2 linked regions of the Lepisosteus oculatus genome follow. The protein of the gene in region 1 purifies or fractionates together with the protein of each later gene. This does not show direct contact. Links are inferred from orthologs where the notes say so. Each region holds a gene or a part of one and is shown on either strand. Other genes may lie near its edges.

Evidence for each region. Proteins that work in one complex are often made in the same cells at the same time.
Region 2: the proteins of vamp3 (region 1) and alpha-soluble NSF attachment protein purify together in Homo sapiens (affinity purification with mass spectrometry; 3 studies listed by BioGRID and IntAct, with this or other methods). This does not show direct contact. The link is inferred for Lepisosteus oculatus from reciprocal best matches to the Homo sapiens genes VAMP3 and NAPA.

Annotation. Positions count from the first base shown.
Region 1 is NC_090720.1:9,620,508-9,627,855, forward strand, and holds the start of vamp3 (vesicle-associated membrane protein 3), read left to right. Parts: upstream 1-4,327; 5' UTR 4,328-4,450; coding exon 4,451-4,452; intron 4,453-7,348. UniProt on the Homo sapiens protein: SNARE involved in vesicular transport from the late endosomes to the trans-Golgi network.
Region 2 is NC_090698.1:6,291,056-6,299,057, reverse strand, and holds the start of alpha-soluble NSF attachment protein, read left to right. Parts: upstream 1-4,966; 5' UTR 4,967-4,984; coding exon 4,985-5,172; intron 5,173-7,388; coding exon 7,389-7,468; intron 7,469-8,002. Other genes in the region: zbed4l2 (E3 SUMO-protein ligase ZBED1), read right to left, coding at 1-1,602. UniProt on the Homo sapiens protein: Required for vesicular transport between the endoplasmic reticulum and the Golgi apparatus. Together with GNA12 promotes CDH5 localization to plasma membrane.

The sequences.
Region 1 (7,348 bases):
GTTTTCCTCAGCTTCCCCTGGAAGTGTTTTCCTTGAGTTTCAGGGTGTTGCACAGCCGGACCTATTGAGATCTGTAGCCAAGTTAAGGAAAAAAGAATCTATATTTCACACTTAGGGGCATTTAATTCATAAGGGGTTTTCCTTTCCACTGGGGGGGCTGCAGACCCTCTAGACAATAGTCTGAGGCAAGACCAAGGGCAGCAGGGTAATCTCTGCACATTACTGTAGTATTCCAGAAGAGATGCAAATTAGACAGCATTATCAATTCTTGTTTAATCAAGACAGTGTTAATAGTCCTGTTTTGCTATGAATGTGAAGTTGGCTGCAGTGCTCAGCCATGTGGGCAAAAACCTTGGATGATGCTATAAAATAGGGCTACTTCCCTTACTTCTGGGGAGCAGGGAGGGTGACAGACATCTTATCCCACCTGCTTCATGAAGTAGCTGTGCTTCTCCTGCAACCTGCAGCCCCTGACATGGAAAAATACTACTGAGGAATCTAATTCATTTCTTTCACAATGAAAGTTATTGCTGATGTAAAACCTTAAACCAAAAGTCTGAAATAGTCCAAGAGGTCAGTGGGTTTAATTAGATGTGCCCCAATTCCATTAGTGGGCGTTACGGATTGCTTTGACAGCTAGATTCTGGGATGTGTTGGCTAATAATCCATCGTCTGATTTAATTAGTTGAAAAATACTGCCAGTGTGCCAATAGAATTTGACTTATTATTGATTTTAATTATGAATAATGCTGTGCTAAAACACTCCAGAAGTGCAGTTTCTTGATTCATGATGAACATTAGGATTTAGGGTTATTCTGTTTTTGTGTAGCTTGTTTTGGAGCAGAATGTGCGAAGGTTGCGTGTTGTCTAGGTCCGTTGTGCATTCACGCCAGGCGACCCTACTGTAGATATATCAGAAGTACCTGATGCACCCAGCCTTGGCTGGAATGCCAGCATGCAGACAGTGAAACATAGACTGGCAGTGATATCTATGGAATTACTGCCAGATCAGCATGGTGAGGTGTGTTTAAAGCCGCCACATGCGTGTGTCTCTTCCATGCAGACACGGGACATTGGCCTACAGTGTGCAAACATATGAGCACACAGTTCGTCCTACACACAAAGTCAAATGTCTTACCCCTCCATACTCAGGAGTTAACAAGCAGTGCAAGAAGTCTTAACCTTCTCTATGAATCATTGTCTCTTACACTGTCATATACAGAAAGATAAAATACACTTTATTGTTCCCTAGGGGAAAAGTTTTATGGACACACATTGCTTCTGTGCATCTGAATATATCGCACAAAATGACACATCACATCAATCGCGCATGCATAACTAATTACAAAACATAACCATGATATATTACGCTTGCATAGTTTGTTACAGCATAAACATATACTGACACAATGGCATTGACCCTTGCCATTTATGTGTATTAACTGCTTCAATAGATAAGGGAACAAATGAATATTTGTATTTATATGATTTACGTTTAGGAGCCCTGAAAGATTGATTCGTGAGGAAAAGGGGATGTTCATAGGGATATTCAGAATGAAGAATTTGTGAAGGATCTGATATCATTTTACCGCCTGTCTGATCATGGATTTTAAAAAAATTGTTAGCTGGAGTTCTGCTTCACATCTCCAGTGCAAGACAGTGCAAACAGGTCAGTTGTTTAGCACAGCAGATTTCATCATATGGAGGTGTTTTGCATTTTTAGAGTGTTTTGGCAAAGTATTACTACAAAATTGGCTGTTAGATTTACTTTGGTAGTTGGTCCCATGATCCCATCTCCCATGGATACTAAAAGACACATGTAGCGTTTTTAACGTGAGAAACATTAGGAAGCAGCAAAGAAACTCCTCCTTCACCAGTGATGTCGATCACAAAGATCCGGCTTGTGTTTGGCAGCCCCTTTCGCTGGAATTTGTAAAAGCGGCTCATTAACTATTTTAATTGAGTTGAGTGAAATTCATCTCGGCTCCAAAGCATCCGATTTCAAGAAAATCCTGGAATTAAAGGGAATCCTAGAATACTGTCCGTTCACATTTTAAAGATGGGGAAATTTCACATGCTAGTATCCGAGTCCGATCTTGGAGAAAGGTGATAGGCATCGAATTTTGAGTGTCAACTCCAGCTGTAGTAACTGGACACCACAGACCCACACACACCTCCCGCACTGCACTCGAACACAAAGCAGGTTGGATCACTGGGGAAATATCAGAGCAGATTCTTACAGTACAGGGCTTTCTCCTTACAGACACAAAGCAATAAATCTTTTTTTTGTTGGGAGTGAGATCTCCAGGTCTCTAGAAGAATATCAAGTACACCTAGTTAACTTCCACTTCTGCAGTTGCCAGTATTGCGAGACAGGTGTTCAGTGATTTATGGACAGCGATATCATGAAACCCCTGGCCTAGTTGCACGTTTTTCATCATTTCCAAAAAAAAATTTAAAAAAAAAACAACAAAAAATGGCCCTGCTTTTTTTAACAAGGCAGTGGGCCCCCAACACTTTGCATGTGAAACTAGTGTTAGATCTTTCTCTCCTCTCTGTCTGTCTAATTTCCCCTCTGTTGGACTCCTTCTCTCTGTTCCTGCTCCCTGCCCCCTTCTCTCCCCTTCTCTCTCCGTGTCTGTCTCTCTCTCTCTTTTGTAAGTTTTATTTTTGTAATTGTGCATGTAAAAGCGTCACTGAATCGATGGAAATGTTTAAAAAAATTTAAAAAAGAATTCAGCTGCTGAAGCCATGCAAAACGTTTTGAATTGCCCTTAAAATATGGAAGATGTTTTCTGAATGCTTTATATTCTTTCTGCTGTAAAATAATAAAAAAATGAAGAAAATTCTCATAGTATGATGTTGCTTTGTTTTGTTTTTTCTGTTACATTTGAACTTTCATGATGGAAATCTGTGTATACCCTGAAAATAAACGCTGAAGACTTTAGGCTGGGCTTATGGTTGGCAGTATGAGTATCGTTGGGTCTTTTCCATGATAATCAATAAACTCAAGTGAATTTGCTATCAATACTGATACAGTGCTAATTAAAGATGAATAAATTGCTGTTAATGCAATGTTGACAGTGCAATTGTCACTTAATACCAGAAAAAAATAAGTGCTTGTCGTAGAGAGACACTAATTGGAAACCGTAAATGCTGTCTGAGCGGAACACTCTTCATTATAGCCACGATTGTTTCCTTCGGTCCAGGAGACTCGTGCTGACAGGCTCCCAGGGGTTCTGTGATCTTGGTAATATTCGCTCAGAGACCATTCTCAGTGTCTAATTCGACACAGCTGTAGGTGTCCACGTGGAGTTGGAGCATGTTGGCTTGAGACAGTTGAGGAGCACGATGAATGTGCTACAGCTCTCTGCCTCTCTAAAACTGCTGGTTCACAGCTCTATAGGCCATAAGCGTTGCTGTGTCATTTTCCAGAAAAGTATTAGTGTTCTGAATCCTAAGAGCAACATGATTTCCAGGGCACAGGTGGGGCTGCACACTGGTGGTGGTGGAGGGGAGTCCCCATTACCTGTTAAGCACTTTGAGTGAAGTATCAAGAAAAGCTCTATGTAAGCGTAAGCAATTATTATTATTATTATTATTATTATTATTGTTGTTGTTGTTGTTGTTGTTGTTGTTGTTGTTGTTGTTGTTGTTAAGATCAATGCTGAAATATTTACCAGAGGAGTGTTCCTTGAGATTTCCATTGCTAAACCCGTTCGGGTCCTACAAGCAATGAACATCACTCTGTTCTGCCAGGATGATCTGTATAGTTCTTAACTGTGTCTCTGTTCTTGAGTATGTGTTGGAGAACGACCTGTCATTTTCCAACAGGAGTCTCCTCTCTTTATTTATAGTCTTGTTCTCGGGATGCTCGAGGCCACGCAAAGCCGGTCACACGCGTGCTCGTCACGGGTGGGCATCCGAAGGGGCGCTGGGTATAAAAGAAACAGCTGCTTGCAAACTGGTGTCTCACTAGAGTACACTCTGGAGACTTTCTAAAGTAAATCGACTTGTAGGTCAATCTTGCAATGCTAAAAAAACAACAACCGCTTGAAACCAAAAATAAATAAATAAAAAGGCTACGACAAAAAGTGAACGCATCTGATGGACAGTCCCTTTCATGAGACGTTTTTGTTTATTGCGATCAAGTTAATTATTTAGTTAATTTAATCCAGAATTATTTAACTCCAGTCAGATGTGTGCAGTCTGGAGCAAAGGCAAGAACAGAAATGCACCGAACTTAAACACTTAAAACACTTAAAATACATGGCCTCAGGCAAGGTAGAGGGTTAGAGATTTGTAAAAGTGCGAGAAAACGGTCGAACAGCGACCGGGAGTGAGCTGGGAAGTGCGCTGTGTCTTTAAATCCTGCTGTGAAAGTTGGTCGCACTAGCTGACACCACCTCAGCCCGATTTACACTTGGTTGCTGGTCCCGTTGCGGTAATCATGTAAGTATGTTTCTCCCGGTCAAACCCGGTGCCGTTCGGGCCCCGGCCCAGAGGGTGGGCCGCGAAAACAACATTTCGACACCGAAACCGAGCGGCGGTTTTCCCGTTTCGACGTGTGAAGGGCGCCCGTGTGAGGTGTCGGGGATGCGGGCAAAGGGCGTTTGTCCCGAGTCAAGTTGCCGGGCAAGAACGAGGCTTCGTCTTAAGTTTTGACTTGTAGGCCCGTTGTTCTGTTTTTGTTTTTAAACTTTATAACAAATCCGTCGAGGTCTGAAACGGTAAAGCCAGGATCCAGGACACCATTGTCTGTGTGTTTGCTGCATATGTGTTACTTTGTTGAGGTTTTTTTTTTTTACTATGGGAAGTAAACGGTTTTTAATGGACCCGGCGCTGTTACTCTTTTTTGAGTAAACGCTTCATTATTTTTTTTACATGATCAAGAGTTACGTTAAAAGAAAGCCGGTACTGGATCATTCGCCACTTTGCATTTTCGGTTTTTCGTTATTGAAGAAGTAACGCAGTTGAGGTGGTTTATTTTCTTGCTTTAGGAAAGGGGGGGGGGGCTTCTCTTATTTAAAATTAACCGAAATTTTCCGCAGTTTGGTTTTTACTTTTGCGTTTTGGTGTCATGTTTTAATATGCTTTATAAGAGACGTGTCGTTGTGCGGGAAATTACTTTAATAATTGACCTCGCTGTGGTCACCTCGGGTGTGTCCAGGCGCACTATCTTGCATAACTTGCTCTGAAATCACTCTTGAGAGTATATTTTAAGTGGCCGGGATTCAAACGGCTGTCCAAACCTTACATGCAACAGGCAAGTTTTATTTTTAAAAGCTCGCTTAAAGCATAGGACGCTTATCTCGGAGGTAGCACCTATTAATCGCGATGCCCACAGTGCTGTTAACACTCCCAGGAAAATCGCAGTTTGGGTCGTTGTTTGATTATGTTCAACTTCGTAATTCATATGTACAAGGTACGACATTTATTATATTTAGGAAGAAAAATGCAATGCAAAGGACTGGGGAATTCTGTTCTGAACAAAAAGCCTAAGAAAAGCATATCCTCGTTACTAATTCATCGATTTTTCTGCTGCTTTTATTGAAATCGCCCTATATTTTGCATCCATTTATACATCTGGACAGTCTGCTGAAGCTGTGTGGGCGAATGCTAACGAGGGGGATCGCCTCAAATCTTCTTGGTAAAATAAATGAGAAGACAGATGTTATAGGTGGAAGAACGTCCTGTATGAAGTTTGCAAGCCTTCCTCGTTCCCATGTGTCTTTTTCCCATTTCATTTTCCTCCCAGCTCATGGGGGCTTGCTGGCCAGGGGGATTCGCGTCCCTAAGGTTTCCCTGTGCCTGCTCGAGACCCGCCCTTTACGCTGGGTCTGTGTCCCGATCCCCGCAGCTCTCGGGTGGTTGAAGGGGCTACAGGTAACGGGCTGATGGGGTCTCTGAGGCAAGAGGCGGTGGTGGCCATTCGGACGAGGCGAGGACGAGATGACGTCGCGCCAGGGCTGCTTTGAGGTCGTTCCTAGCCCGACCTAGCCTTTCCATTCTTGCGTACTGCAGACGCGCCTCTTTAAGATAAGATCACTTTATTAGCCCTATACAACTTCTTGTATTAGGAATTTGTCTTTTCGCATACCCCAGCTTGCTCTCCATGAGACACACAGACAGGGAGAGAAGCTGGGGGTCAGAGCACAGGGTCGGCCATTTATACGGCGCCCCTGGAGCAGCTGGGGTGAAGGGCCTTGCTCAGGGGCCCAACGGAGTAGGATTCCCCTGCCGGCCGCGGGATACGAACCGGCAACCTTCCAGCCACAGGCGCGGATCCTGAGCCACAGAGCCACCTCTCCGTCTTTCCCCCTTCGCCCTGTCCAACTGCCACAACGGCCGTGCTTGTGGCAGGAGCCCAGTGAGGCTGGCGGTGGTGCCAGCCGGTCCCCGGCCCCTTCGCCTCCTGCTCTGGTGGACCGGCCGCCTCGCTCCACTGGTGGGGATGAAGGGGCAGAGATCCGCCTCAGGCATGTGATCGCCTCAGGCGGGCCAGAGAGGAGGTTTCTCCTTCAGCCAGGGGGAGATGGCCAGCTGTGTGGCGCAGTGCCTTTGTGCTCCTGCTGGGGATCAGCGCGTGGCTCTGAATTGCAAGATGTCGCAACAGCTCAGGCTGTGCTGTACTTGGGGCTGTTCCCGGGCAGGCAGACAGGAGACGTCCATTCCTTGAGACACAGGAAGCCCCAAATTCCTACATGCCGCGTGGATCCTGAGGATGTCTTGGGTCTCTGCAGAATCGCGCTGGAAAGTGAATTTAGAAGATTAAAGAACACCAGAAATACCTCGTCTATTCATGCATCATTTAAAATACTTTATACTTTGGTTGCCGACAATCTGAACACGACGGTTATCTCTTGTAGTATAAAATAGCGGTCTGATACTGGGCTGTTGAGAAAAAGAGCCACACAGCCAGAAGAATATTAATCCCCTTAGGTGTTTGTTAGTCTGACTGCAGAGGAAACGCAGACTATTGCATTGTGGCTCATGTGTAGCTTGGAGGGGACTTTTCTGGCTTAGTTTACAGATCCCCTATTTTGGAAAAAGGCACTGGTGCCTGGTTTATGTCAACGTTTAGTCAGCGGCAGCTCTGGTTCATCGCGTTTGTGGCTGTCAGTCCAAGTGTCGTACACCCTGAATAACATCGATAGGTGGTGTCTACCTGCTTCTTTTGAACAGGCTGCAAATAGTAAATAAAAATGGAAAAATGCAAAGTTTAAATTCAGCTTAACCTCTGTTGTGTGGATCCTCATTAGTCCCTTAATCTGTCCATCCTTTCTGTGACTGATTCTTCTAATTCTGGGTCGCAGGGATACAATTCCCTGTATCCTGCCCCGCGGCC
Region 2 (8,002 bases), on another chromosome or scaffold:
GGCACAGCCGCTCTCCGCCATGCGCTGGCCCAGCAGCCGGGCCACGCCGTGCAGGCAGGGCATGAGCGCGGAGACCGCCGCGTTGGCGTCCTCGCTCAGGAAGGCGGCCGCGATGCGCACCGTCCTCAGCACCGGCGCGAGCTCCTGCAGGAGGCGCCACTGGTGGTCCGCCAGGTTGGGCGGCGCCTTCTGCTCCTCCAGCACGGAGCTGACCACCCACTTGAGCTCCAGCAGGCTCTCGCACATCTCCAGCGCCGTGGCCCAGCGGCCCGGCTCGTCCAGCACCAGCCGCGCCCCGGCCTTGGGGTTGAGGGCGGCGGCGGCGCGCGCGTCGTGCTGGAAGTGGGACACGATGGCCCGGGCGGCCGCCAGCGCCTGGCGCACGGGCTCGGCGGAGAGGCCCTCCTGCACGCACAGCTTCAGGGCCTCCCCGGCGCAGCACAGCGCCGCCCAGCCCGCGGGCAGGGCCTCCCGGTCCTGGCGCCCCTCCTGCTCCTCGGGCGCCCAGCAGCGGTCGTGCACGACGGAGGAGACGGCGCTCTCCGGCAGGCGGAACTCGGAGAGCACGGACCGCAGCGCCGCCCCCAGCTGGGCCTCCGGCGCGCCCTCCGCGAGCTCGGGCACCGGCCGGGTCTCCAGCACGCAGCGGGCCAGGCGCCAGTCCCGGTCCACGAAGTGCGCGCTGACGGTCAGGTAGAGGCGGCCGCCGCCCCCGCCCGCGCCCAGCGACCTCCAGCGCTCGGCGCACAGCGTCAGGCCGCGGGGGGGCAGGCTGGCGCTCAGGTGCTGCTCCAGGTGCTGCTTGAGGGCGTGGTAGCGGTGCCACAGCAGGCTGCCCAGCTGCGAGGGCGAGGGCGCCGGGTACTGCGGCTCCAGGCAGCCCAGCAGCAGCCGGAAGCCGCGCTCCTCCACCAGGGACAGCGGCTGCAGGTCCCGGAACACCATCTCCAGGATCAGGTCCGTCAGCAGCCCCGCCCGCTTGCTGCTGCAGCCCCGCGCGCCCCCCCCGCCACCGCCGGCCTCCGGGTAGAAGAGCCCGGACAGCAGCGAGTGGCTGGGGGGCTCCGGCTCCGGGGCGCCGGCCGGGATCCCCCCGCCCGCCCCGGCCCCCCCACCGCCGGCGGCGGAGCCCCCCAGCCGCGCCCTCTTGCTCTCCCCCCCCTCAGGCGAGACCTCCGCCTCCTGCGTTTCCTCCTTGACCACCACCAGCGCCGCCGCCCCCCCCCCAGCCCCGCCCGGGCCGGGCAGGAAGGGGGCGGGCGGGGGCGGGGCCAGGAGGGCGGGGAGGGAGTGGTTGCCGGCGGCGGCGGCGGCGGGGGGGGCGGGGGCGGGGGCGGGGCCGTTGTCGCGGATGCTGTGCTTGCGGACCAGGTGCTCCCTCATGGTGGTGGTGCTGTTGTGGAAGGACAGCTGCTTCTTGCAGACGTTGCACTCCACGTGGCTCTCGCTCAGCTGCGTGTAGTAGTTCCACACCTTGGACTTGCGGCGGTCCACCGAGGCGCAGTACAGCGGCCGCCCCAGAGGCCCCCCCGCGCCCCTCTCTCCGCGCCGCTTCAGGGGCGGCCCCAGGCCCGAGGGCAGGGAATAGCCCGGAAACTCCATGGGGAGCAGGGGGAGAGGGCTCCTGGAGGCTGAGGAGACACAAGACGGTCGGCTGGCGACGTGGGGATTCTTGAAGTTCGAGATTCTCGCTGTTCGATAAAGAACAGGCTGGGCAGCTTGTCTTATCTGATGAACGTGATCACGTTACACCTGTTCGCTTCCCCCCTGCCACATCAGCAGGGCCACAATGCACTGCAAGTGTGGGGTAACCCCCACCCTCACCTGGAAGGGCCCCCCGTTATCACACAATTCCCTCCTGTGCTGCTCCCATAACACTTTCCACACCCCTGCCTGGCTCAGGATTTGACACTGGCTTTACTCTTCTTGCACCGTGATTTCACTGTGCTCGAGAGTTCTCTTACCATGATTTCAGTGCTTCATTACACTTCACTGTGCTTTTACCATGACTTCCCTGCTTCATAACACTTTACTTGTACCACGGTTTTACCATACACCACTACTACTACTCTTTACAGTGCTTCTACATGATTTCACTGTATTTGACACCTCACCCTGCTTTTACCACTATTTACTCCCAAAACACTCTTCCGGAAGAAATATCAATCGGAGCCTATCGTGAATACTGCTGTACACTCTCCAGCAGCAGGTAAACCAACACGCTGTGACCCACCTGGAAAATATCTTTGACACTGAAAGTCATTGACTGGAGCCAGACGAGCCGAGTAACTCGTCACACCCGGGAGCTGGACCCACCGCCCTCCGGAGTCCAGAGCCCCAAGCCCCTGTTCTGTACTGCTGCCCTCTAGCGGTGGTACAGCGCACTGCAGCGCCTCTCGCACCCGTGTCAGCTGGAGCGCCAGCAAGCAGCTGACAACGAAGGAGACCAACAAGCCTGCCCATGAAGAGCGCTACAAAATAGGCGACACGCAGTGACTACAAAGGCTGAAAAACGAGGCCACGGATATGCCCAGGACACAGAGCAACCAGGAACGGGCTTGACGGAGTGATGAATCCGGGTCGTGTAGCCGCAGTGGGACAGACTGGCCAGCGGGCAGTGGGTGCCAACGTCACCGCACTGACGCGGGCTGAGATTTCGCGGATTCGTGGCCCGTGTTTGTTGTTGTTGTTGTTGTTGTTGTTTGTGTGTGTGTGTGTGTAAACGCTCAGGTCGAGTCCTGCGTTTCCCGGGCTGTGTAAGTCGCGACTTAAGCCGTCGCTACCCCCCCTCTGCAATGACACATGACTCGAGTAACAGTTTACTTAGACCAGCGGTCAGGTAACGTCGACACCCGGCGCGCCGCCGGCCTGCGCCGGACTGGACAGCCCGCAACACTCACCCGGTCGCTAGGGGATCCTGCCGCCGGCTCGGGGCACCACGGTTACCGGGGAATGAAACGGAAGGCGGGCGCAGAAGCTCGTTCGGAAGTCACACATAGCCGAACCCCAGCCCGCGGCCCACCTTCCGACGGGAAATGATTCTTTCATATCCAGGGTCATGCTGCAAAGTGCCGCACCGCCCGGAAAACGGAGGGCGAAAGGGGACGCACGGTTTAGGGACCGTCCCCCATGCGCAGCGGGAAGCGTATGCGGATTTCACACTTTGAAAATCAAAAAACCGGGGGACGAAATTCTCGTCCTCTCGCCGGAAGGCTGGAGCAGCCCCGCGGTGCCGAAACGCACGATTGCGCGTCCGAGCTGCGCACAGCGGCGAGAGACCAGACCGGTTGTTAAACCGGTATCTGCGGGTACCAGACACCAGCCTCCACCCGACGGTGGACCTCGCTGCAGTGCTCAAAGGCATTCCTGTCGAAATTTCCCTTAAAGCGTTGTTTGGCTGTAACTACTGTAATTCCTTTGTCTAAATTTGGCCAGTTTGAACTGTCTGATTTTTCTCATTCTGTCGAGCTGTGGAACTTCGCTTCAAGGTTTGTTGAATACGTTACTAAATAAAAACTGAACGGGTTAACGGGCGTCCTTGTCTTTTATTAAGGGCATTTGACGGGATTTTGAATTGTAATTTAAAAAAAATCATTGAAAAAACATTTTTTAAAGCTTCCCTAGTGCCTGCTGGTTGTTCGTTTCTAAAAAACACGAGATCGAAGATTCACTGGGATCGGACTGGTTACCATAGTAACGGCTTCCGGCCGCACGGAAGCGCTGTCCGGTATAGGAATCCTGAGCTCGAGGCTGGAGGGCTGGTCCTGTTACCCACCTGAAGGTGTTCGAGACGGGGGATGGAAACTGACTCTCTGTGCTGTCCTCTTAGGGACCTGTTGCGGTAACATTCCCAGGAACACACATTTGACACACACACATACACAATGTAGGAAACAACACGTCAAGCCATGCAATCGGTCTCCCATACACCTGTTTGCAGACACCTGTCAACACTGCAGAATTAGTCCACTAATTTTGGACTATTAGTGTGTACATGCACTTTTCTGTTGTACAGAAGTAGTTCAGGTGGGGAGGTGGCGTCAGCATGCCTAGGCTCAAAAGGAACAAGTAATAGGTTTATTCCAAGCTGAAGAGAGAAGAGGGAAAATGTTTCACCCGAAGAAGGCTCCACAGCCGAAATGTCGTCTTTCTTCTCTTTCCAGCCTGGAATAAACCTATGGCTTGCTCCCTTTGTATCATACTTCTACAATACTCTTGCTTTCACTCTACTGAGATGATGGCATATCGTGGAGATTGTCGAAAGCTTGCCAGTGGCACGGTCACCACTACACAGCAGCCAGCAGCCAGTAGCCATATCACCCTGCAACTCACAACTGGCAACCCACTGGAGCCCAGCAGGTGTGAGCCTGGTCAGTACCTGGAGGGGAGAGACTCCTGGGAAACACTAAGGTTGCTGCTGGAAGAGGCGTTAGTGGGACCAGTAGGGGGCGCTCACTCTGCGGTCCAGGTGGGTCTTAATGCCCCAGTATAGTGACGGGGACACTATACTGTAAACAGGTGCCGTCCTTTGGATGAGACGTAAAACCGAGGTCCTGACTCTCTGTGGTCATTAAAAATCCCAGGGCACTTCTTGAAAAGAGTAGGGGTGTAACCCCGGCGTCCTGGCCAAATTTACCATCGGCCTTTATCAATCATGGCCTCCTAACAATCCCCCTCTTCATTTCTCTGCTCTCCTCCCCACGGATACCTGGTGTGTGGTGAGCGTTCTGGCGCACTATGGCTGCCGTCGCATCATCCAGGTGGATGCTGCAGATTGGTGGTGGTGGAGGGGAGTCCCCATTACCTGTAAAGCGCTTTGAGTGGAGTGTCCAGAAAAGCGCTATATAAGTGTAAGCAATTATTATTATTACACGTCGACAGCGCTGCAGTGTTGTGCTTCACGGTCTCTGGCAGGCGGGCCCGGCGCGTGCCTTTGCTGCGCCCCTCCCACGTGACACGGGCGCCGGCCCGCGGCTTCAGCGAGATGTGTCAGGCGTCAGGCGCAGACCGGAGCGAAGCCCACAGGCGCCGCAGTGTAACCGAAGCAAAGCGCACTGTCAGCGCGGACGCAATCATGGACAATTCCGGGAAAGAAAAGGAAGCACTGGCCCTCATGGCAGAGGCCGAAAGAAAAATCAAATCGTCGCAGTCTTTCTTCGGGACGTTGTTTGGGTGAGTGGCAGGTGGCGGCGGAGCGGGGTCGCGATCGGTTTGGCTGCCGGGGAAGGAGAGCTCGTAGACGGTCTAAGCTCGTTAGGAAAATCCGAGGGCGTGCGGCTGACGGTACAGAAGCAGAGGCCTGGCCGTAAAAGGCTGTCATGTATGCTTGGGAACGCTCCTGGTCATGTGGCATAACGATATCGACCTCCATGCGAAATAAAAGGACACCATCGATAAATACATTTTTAACTTTTTTTTTTTAGAAAAGTTGTACAGCACCGTTGAGCTACGGGCTGAAAAGTTGCTTGATCATCGATTTGCCAGCCTGTTCCTTCCTGGGTCGATTGTTCTGCCGAGTTCGGGGAGGGACGCAGGTCTGGGAGCTGCGGTTACGAGCTCCGCGGTCACATGTGTCGTCGAGTCAGCTGATCACACGACACCAGACTGTAAACAAAGTACTCTGACACCGGGTCCGCATGGTCTGACCCAGTGAGGAGCACTGGTCTGTCTTCCACCGCAACACAGAACATTCAGAGTGTCCTCTACCTGAACTGTCGTGTAGGGACCAGTTGTAAAAGGGCTGTCCCACTGTACTGGGACTGTAGCCCCTATTGTAACAGGACTGTTCTACTGTACTGGGACTGTAGCTCCTACTGTAACAGGACTGTTCTACTGTACTGGGACTGTAGCCCCTATTGTAACAGGACTGTTCTACAGTACTGGGACTGTAGCTCCTACTGTAACAGGACTGTTCTACTGTACTGGGACTGTAGCTCCTATTGTAAGAGGACTATTTCACTGTACTGGGACTGTAGCTCCTATTGTAACAGGACTGTTCTACTGAACAATCCTGTTGTTGTACTGATAATGAATAATTACAGTAGACGATAGAGAATCTTATCGAGGCATCTAAGCTGAGATGCTGTGTTGTAGCAGAAATGGAGCCCAGCAGGACAGTGAGTGTGTGTTAGGGGGCAGCTCTGTGTGTGAATTTCGTACTGTGACAATAAGATAGATAGATACTTTATTGATCCCGTGAGGGAAATTGCAGAAGAGGAGGGAAACATGCAGGTGTGTGCAGGCAGGCAGGCAGGCAACACCCCCTCTTGTGCTTCTGGAGAATCAGCATCTGGGTGAAGTTTATTCAGAGGTAGAGGTGCGTATCTTAAAGGGAAACTGCAGTCCCAGTTTCTCAGACCGGTTATTACAACTTGGTAACAAAATGATTCATTGACCATATAGGAAAAAAAAAGACAAATCTGAATTAAGCACAAGTACTGTAAGTCACCATGTTGTCGCGAACTCAAACATCCGAGTTGCGACGCGATGCGACCCTTCCTGCTCACTAGTCTCCATACTGACTAGTGAACCGATAGGAACCGATTGTGCAGCAGACATTTCACCACAGAAATGATCTGTATGCAAGAGTAAACAAGTAAGTGGTATTTGTCTGTAAAACGTTTCAAAACCTGAAGCAACATTTCTGCTGGATTAAAAGAGATTTATTTACAAAGGAACAGGTTAAGGTTTATTCCGTGTTGAAAGGAGAAAAAAAAAGAGACCACTGTAGAAATGTGTGCCTTCCTTCAGGTGTGTTTCTGCAATGTGAAAAACACAGTGGATTAAAAGCCGGCTTGTTTTGTGATGTAATAGGGCCACAACACGTCACCGGTAGTTTTGTTGCCTCTTTCTCAATCACAGAACACACCTGGGAATTTCAGCAACTATGTGATGTAACTTGGAGGCTTGACAAGTTACTGTGCACGTTTGACTGTTATTGTGGTTTGAAATGCACCCATCAATGCTGTTTTTTTCCTAACCCCGAAATCTAAAATCGTATATTTCAGTTCCCCTTTAGCTTGGGAACTAAGCCACCTCTCGCTCTCCCCAGCAGGGAAGAACGTCTTTCCTCAGTCTCCGCCCACAGAGTGGCTCTGCTTGTGTTTCCACCTGTCCGTTGATCCACTGGACGGGAACAAATTCAGATAATTTCCTTCAGTAAAATATAATTCACTAACTGCAGCAGCATTTGGAAAGATGTTACCTGGGTACTTTAGATCCCTGTTGGCTCAGTTTTGTTTGTCAGAACTATGCAGTGTTAATGCGTTAGGGAATCAGACTGATGACGGGAAGGAACTTGCTCTAAAACATTTGTTTTTACATCTACGTAAAGTAGTAGGCTCTGACCTTGCCTGTGTCCCTCCCTCTGTTCCTGGCTGGGTGTCCAGGGGCTCATCGAAGGTTGAGGAGGCATGCGAGATGTACGCACGCGCTGCCAACATGTTCAAGATGGCCAAGAACTGGAGTGGTAAGAGACAGAGACAGTGAGAAGGAAGGAGGGGTCATAGCGGAGTGTGTGTGTGCAGTGAGGTGTGATGCGGTGCTGTAGCAGTGTGTGTGTGTGCAGTGAGGTGTGATGCGGTGCTGTAGCAGTGTGTGTGTGTGCAGTGAGGTGTGATACAGTGCTGTAGCAGTGTGTGTGCAGTGAGGTGTGATGTGGTGCTGTAGCACTGTGTGTGTGTGCAGTGAGGTGTGATGCGGTGCTGTAGCAGTGTGTGTGTGCAGTGAGGTGTGATACAGTGCTGTAGCACTGTGTGTGTGTGCAGTGAGGTGTGATGCGGTGCTGTAGCAGCGTGTGTGTGCAGTGAGGTGTGATGCGGTGCTGTAGCAGTGTGTGTGTGCAGTGAGGTGTGATACAGTGCTGTAGCACTGTGTGTGTGTGCAGTGAGGTGTGATGCGGTGCTGTAGCACTGTGTGTGTGTGCAGTGAGGTGTGATGCGGTGCTGTAGCAGTGTGTGTGTGCAGTGAGGTGTGATGCGGTGCTGTACCAGTGTGTGTGTGC